Linked DNA regions of Tribolium castaneum. The protein of the gene in region 1 purifies or fractionates together with the protein of each later gene. This does not show direct contact. Links are inferred from orthologs where the notes say so. Each region holds a gene or a part of one and is shown on either strand. Other genes may lie near its edges.

The links.
Region 2: the proteins of Sf3b6 (region 1) and Phf5a purify together in Homo sapiens (affinity purification with mass spectrometry; 4 studies listed by BioGRID and IntAct, with this or other methods). This does not show direct contact. The link is inferred for Tribolium castaneum from reciprocal best matches to the Homo sapiens genes SF3B6 and PHF5A.
Region 3: the proteins of Sf3b6 (region 1) and U2A purify together in Homo sapiens (affinity purification with mass spectrometry; 5 studies listed by BioGRID and IntAct, with this or other methods). This does not show direct contact. The link is inferred for Tribolium castaneum from reciprocal best matches to the Homo sapiens genes SF3B6 and SNRPA1.

Annotation. Positions count from the first base shown.
Region 1 is NC_087395.1:21,528,290-21,530,341, reverse strand, and holds Sf3b6 (splicing factor 3B subunit 6), read right to left. Parts: upstream 1,158-2,052; 5' UTR 1,029-1,157; coding exon 999-1,028; intron 948-998; coding exon 612-947; 3' UTR 557-611; downstream 1-556. Other genes in the region: mutS protein homolog 5, read right to left, coding at 1,174-1,647, 1,688-2,052.
Region 2 is NC_087395.1:6,324,788-6,326,758, forward strand, and holds Phf5a (PHD finger-like domain-containing protein 5A), read right to left. Parts: upstream 1,159-1,971; 5' UTR 1,006-1,158; intron 965-1,005; exon of another isoform or gene 957-964; 5' UTR 946-956; coding exon 613-945; 3' UTR 576-612; downstream 1-575. Other genes in the region: uncharacterized protein LOC655475, read left to right, coding at 1,381-1,429, 1,477-1,680, 1,728-1,954.
Region 3 is NC_087395.1:21,925,446-21,928,024, forward strand, and holds U2A (U2 small nuclear ribonucleoprotein A'), read left to right. Parts: upstream 1-859; 5' UTR 860-945; coding exon 946-1,027; intron 1,028-1,073; coding exon 1,074-1,221; intron 1,222-1,271; coding exon 1,272-1,624; intron 1,625-1,679; coding exon 1,680-1,805; intron 1,806-1,854; coding exon 1,855-1,889; 3' UTR 1,890-1,991; downstream 1,992-2,579. UniProt on the Homo sapiens protein: Involved in pre-mRNA splicing as component of the spliceosome. Associated with sn-RNP U2, where it contributes to the binding of stem loop IV of U2 snRNA.

The DNA.
Region 1 (2,052 bases):
TCGATTTTGATCAGTAAAAAATAATAAATGATCAGTATTTAATTAATTTTTGCACAGTAGAAATAATAAATGATCAGTATTTAATCCATTTTTACTCAGTAAAAAATTTAAATGACAAAACCACGCACAGTATTTTATTAAAATTTACCCAGTAAAAAAATCGTATATGCACAGTATCTAGTTTCAGTTTACACGGTTTAAATAATAAACGCTCAATAGATAGCCTGCAGGCTGGGGCTTCGCCCCATCGAACTAAAACGAAACATATCCCGCGAACGATTTTTGAGATGCTATTATCTACTGTGCATTTATTATTTTTACTGAGCATTTACTATTTTTACTGAGCATTTACTATTATTACTGTGCATTTATTATTTTAACTGTGCGTTTATTATTTTTACTGTGCGTTTATTATTTTTACTGATCAAAAATACTTGTCGTTTAAATAAAATACTGTGCATTTAATTTGTACCCATAAAAAAAAACTCTTAGCAGACTCACCCTGAATTGAAAGGGAATTTAAAGGGAGATTTAATTGCGTTAGATATAAAAATCATTCTCATTGTAATTATTTATTTAAAAAGCTTAAAATTATGTACAATACAATATGTTTACGTATTAATTCCGTATTTTGATTTCATCTTATCAATCTCTTCCTGTTTCTTCTCAATATCGGTCTTCTTGAACGCTTTACTCGCCTGATAATACAAAACCACTAAATACCGATTACAAACATTAAAGCCGGACAAATGGTCACAAGCGTTTTTTGCGTCAAAAATGTCCTCATAAACCACAAAAGCTGTGCCTCTAGTTTCCGGGGTATTACCGACGCGGATTTGCCTGATAGCCCCATATTTACCGAAAATATCGTACATTTCTTCGGCTGTTATTTTATAGGGGAGATTGCGGATGTAGAGAATTCGGTTGATTTCTGGGGGCAACCTAACCTATAAAAAAAAACATTTTTTGGGTCAAATTTTTGGTATTTAACGACTTACGTTTGCCTTTCTTTGCATAGCCAAAGCCATTGTGGCGTTTTTTTAATTTGCTTCAATGAATTAAATACAAAAACAAACTCACACAAACGTTTTTATTGACTGAACAACACGATCGCCAACGTAACACGTACCAACCCAACAATTAACAAAACTAAAGCGGGATATTCAAACACAATTATGCCTCATCTGGTTCCGGAATATTAACATCTTTTAAAAACGCAATCAACGCACTATCATTAACGGAAGCCGGATAACTCTCACAACGGACTAATGGCGTGACTGTTTTCTTTTTTTCAAACAATTCGTTTGCCCGTTTGATAATACTCGCATCCACGCCAACTTCGGCCGCAATTTTTATCGCAAAACTCCTCGAAACACCTTTCGCCACTTTATAAAGGAACAAAAGTGTCCCATTTTCCTCCGAATGTGCCATTTTCAAATATTCAACAACACCATCTTCCGGTAAAAAATCAGAAATGCTTTGGTGGTGCGTCGAGACAAGTATGTGAGGGCAGTTATTGCCTTGTTTGTGAAAGTCGGCCAGAAAGCCGACCAGTAAAGCAAGTCCATCCTCCACGGTGGTTCCCCGGCCAAACTCGTCCAATAAGATCAGAGAGTTGTGGCGCGCGTTATGAATCGCTTGCGTGGCCTAATTTACGATTAATTTTTTCGCAAAATTTTATACAGACCTGGATTGCGTCAATCATAAATGCAGATAGGCGCACGGCTGCCGATTCCGTCGCTTGCATTCTGGAATGTATGCAATGCAAAATCCCGATGTTGGCGCTCCTGGCAGGCACGTAGGAGCCAATGTGGGCAAAGTAAATAACGAGGGCTACTTCCTTCAAATACACACTTTTGCCACTGCCGTTAGGCCCCGTGATTATTTTAATGTGACTGTGGTGATTCCCCGAGCAAAAGTCATTGGGCTCGAAATTTGAGACCAGCTCGAGGAGAGGGTGACGACACTCGCGGATTTCGTGCATATTTTGGTTGTTTAAAGCAGGTCGGACGTAATTATTTTGTGCCGAGACTTTCGCTATTGCTATCAAAC
Region 2 (1,971 bases), about 15 Mb from region 1:
TTATTTAATACCTTACTAAACCAAAATTATTAAAAAAATAACGTTTGTAAACTTAAAAATGGGTTGTGTTCAATAACTTATACCATTTCTAACTTTATGATAATTTTTGGTGGCTTGTTTGTTTCTAAACATTCACTAAGAACTTGATAACGATAAAATATTGTTCGCGGTAGACGAAAGTCCGTAACTGAATCTGAAGCGCACACGCGCTTTAAATAAATCCTGGACTAGTTCAGGATTAGTTCTAAAAACCTTCCGCGAACAAAGCTGATAACATATGACGCTGACACTAATAAATCCTTCAAAACATGTCAATTTTTGTCATTTTTTCGAAGACAAAAAGCCGCTGCCATTATCAAAATCATATGATGGCAGTAAAAAATATTGTAGATGGCACACATGAATATGAAATTTTGTCTATTCACAAACATTATCATACTCGGAATTGCCTCGCGCGTTAAACTACTTTTTTTCCTTGATTTTTTCATTATAGAAAACTAGGAAAACAGTGCAAAAACAAAATTAAAAAAAAGATTTTTTTTAATATGATAACAGGAAAATTGACTGACTGATAATAAATTTTATGATTTATTTTAATTACACAAAATCACATTAGCGCCGCTTAAACCCGTATTTCTTACGCTCATAGAAGAGGTCAGTCTTCGAACTACCCAGATTCACAATTTTGGGGCACCCATCCCTGTCTTTCTCCTGAATTGTGCATTCCTTACAGTAGTAAGCGTCTGAAATACCTGGACCTCCACAAATCACGCATCTGCCCTGATACGAACCGTAGTTACACTCGTCACAAATCCTCACTAAAGTGCAGGGACGCACGTACGAATCGCAAATAACGCATTTTCCGTCACACTTCTCACAGAGCCTCCCTATGGCCACCCCCGGCTGCTTGCGACAAAAAATCAAATCGGGGTGATGCTTGGCCATGCTTCAGTGATCTACAAATCTTGTTTCAACAATACTGTTATTCCAAACTCAGGAACTTACCGTAAAACGTGAGAAAACGTTGAGCTTTGTTTCGAGATTTGTTAGGTTATGTGTACAACAGTTGACAGTTGAACTGGAAGTGTCGACAGTTACGCCAGCTAGACGTTCTTATTTTCGTGTCAAATGATTAATTAATTGTCGAATTTTGATTTGAGTATTACGGAAGCACAAACTAATTTCTATATAACTTAAGAATCGTGACCACATTCAACAAATAAATAAATAAATTTAAATTTTGACACCAGACACTAGTAATTTCATTTCATCAAGTTGCTGAGTTCGTTAAGTTGGCAACACTACTATAAAAAATCAAAAAGTGATTGATTCCCTTTGAACGTTAGGCTCCAATTTGCCGAAACTGAAGCGATTTCAACAATGAATTCGATGTTTTCCTCACCCGCAATCCACGTTTTCTCCCAAGAAAGTGAGTATTTGATGTTCGGTGAAATAATCTTCAAGTGTCGTTTTTAGACGTTGGAAGTGTGGCAAAAAAGCCAAGAACCACTAACACCCTATCAAGAAAACCGTTTTTTGATCGAGCCGTGAATGCAAACACGCCTGATTTTGGCAGAAATGTGAAACCCGAGCCGCAACTGAAAAAGCCTGAGCAAAATATTGACATAGAAGATGATGACTTATTTATTTACGACACTTACTCCTTCAAGGATATGAACGGTTTTCACCGAGATTTGTGTGTGACGAAATCTGATTTCTGGTTTTAGATGATTGCGCTGCTGATAAATTAATTACTGCAAAGGAAAAATTCAACAAGCTGCGACCATGTTGTGGTTACAAGGAGTTGACTCCATCTCCAAAGTTATCACCTGTTGATTTTGATATGTTTATTAAGATTCCGAAAACTATCAAGTTTTCTGTAAAGTCTGAAGACAGTTACGACATGACCGATGAAAGTGAGCACATTTCACTGCCGGACATTGATTTTTATTAAACCCTTATAAGTGGTAT
Region 3 (2,579 bases), about 400 kb from region 1:
CCCTCAAGTACAATTCGGCTCACAATTAATTATCATCAGGTGGTAATAAATCTTATCGCGAAACGCGCATTCTTCAAGTCTCATTAGCTCGGAAAAGTCACAAGGAAATTTTCTTCCAGATTAAGAATGGAACGAGTTTTATCACTCATCGGCGCGTAATTGGTGTAAGTTCAATGGAAATAAACCCGTTCGGTTTGGATAAACATTTGTGACGTCAATGAATAATTTGGCTCTTGTTTTTTGCTCTAAGGGGAAGTGAAGAAGACAATGGCTTGATTCGTTTCACGAAATCATTTTTTGATTAATTAATGACGATGCGGGGAATCCGACAGATAATAATACTTCAAACGTACATTCCACACATTCATTGTGTTTTTCTTATTGTTTAGCAACTTTTTTTAGCCAGAATTAGCATATTTGTGACCAACACAAATCGCTGAAATAAGTGTTGGCAGACGTGTTTTTGTATATAGTGAAGCCTTTGAATCCGAGCCATTTTTGTTTGGGGTTTTCCCGATTATGAAATTAATTTTTTCTTACCTAATTAAAATAAATAAATAACTGAAGCAGGACTTTTTATTACAAAATACAATAATGTAACATACGGAGTATATTATCAAATTATCATTATCAGCTGTTAACAGTTAAAAGTAAGTTTGTTTTTCGGGTTAGAAGGGGTTCGGATTAACGACGTTTTCCTGTATTTTTTCATATTTAGATTCCATGTTTTGATACAAAAATTAAATTATTAATTATTTGGTCCCAATGATTGATATTTATTGCTTCATCTTAATTTTGGAAATTTTTGGAAATTCAGGGAAATTGCGTTTGGGGCGCTCTCTACAGGTATTCGTGTAACAATTACAGAAACCTGTAACGGTAGTCGGTGAAATTGATGGCTTGTGCGTTGTTTGTTTAATTGTAATTTTTCGCTAAAACCTAATTATGGTGAAGCTAACAGCCGAGCTGATTCAAAATTCCATGCAATACATAAATCCGGTAAAAGACCGCGAGTTGGACTTACGAGGTGAGGACCAAATGTAAAAAAGTTGGGTTAAGTCATCTTTTTTTAGGTTATCGCATCCCCGAAGTGGAAAATCTGGGGGCCACCGGTGACCAGTTCGACACAATTGACTTTTCGGACAATGATGTGCGCAAGTTGGATGGTTTTCCGTACTTGAAGCGGTTGAAATGTTTGCTTTTTAACAATAACCGTATTGTGTAAGTTGTGGGGTTTTTTCGTTTTTTTTTTTTGAGTTTTGGGGTTTTAGACGCATTGGGGAGCATTTGGAGGAGTACATTCCTAATTTGGAGACGCTGATTTTGACTGGGAACCACTTGGAAGAGCTGGGTGATATTGAGCCGTTGTGCACTTTGGAGAAGCTCACCACAGTTAGTCTTTTACATAACCCTATCACTTCCAAGCAGCATTACAGGCTATACCTAATTTATAAGTTACCGCAGTTAAGGTTGCTCGATTTTCGTAAAGTCACAGCTAAGGAACGGGAAGAGGCGAGGGCTCTGTTTAAGAGTAAGAAAGGCAAGGAGATTAGGAAAGAAATTGGGAAAAGGGCAAAGACGTTTATTCCCGGAGGTACAGGTAACAGTATTGCCAAAAGTAAAGGTACGTCTTACATTTTCTGTGAGTTTTATTTTTTCAATTTAATTATTTTTTCAAGGCCTTACAGACGAAGAAATTGCGAAAATTCGTGAAGCTATCAATAAGGCCAGTTCTTTGGAAGAGGTTGAACGGTTACAGAAGATTTTACAGTCTGGTCAAATTCCTGGTCAAGAAGAAATGAACGGTTAATTTTTTCTATGATTTATTGTGGGAAATGTAATATTTTTTTTCAGGATATCAAAATGGACAAAGTATGGAATATGAATAAGTTTGAGGTAATTTTCAGTCAGGTGTACAATTAATTAGTTTTATTTATAAGTTCCGGTTGATAAGAGTATTGTACTACACTAAATACAAGGTTGAGAAGCGAGCGGAATTAATTTTTCATTTTTTCTAATAAAGCAATACGTACAATAACTGGGTATTATTTCAATCTTTCCCGACTGAAACAATGCCTTTCTGGCAAGATTTATCTGTTTCAGAAATTAATTGAACGAAATAAGCTAACAACAAATTTTGTTTTGCAGCTAATTTTTCGAAGAAAATTAGTTTTTAGTTTTCACAGCGAGCAAAAGTAATGTTAATTACAGAAATAAACCAGTTTTTTAAATTTTGCGGATTTTAAATTTGTCTGTAAACATGTAAAAAATAAAAAATTGTTTTTATCTCAAAACCGTCTTGCGAATACTTTTTAGTGGCTACTCGTGTCATTTTAAGAGCGCCTTGGAAATTGTGTCTAAAGTGACCGAAATACTTTTCAAAGTGTGTGGTAATAGTGGTTTTAGAATATTTCAAAGTTCAAATAAATTTTTTCATTTCAGAATGTTTTAGTTGATTTGGAATTATTTCTATAACAATTCGCGTCACTTATTTTATCTTTTTAATTTTTCATAATTTATTTGTTGTAGTTTTTTACAAAAAATGACTAGAAAAAATAGGTATACTTATTTTTGTTGAA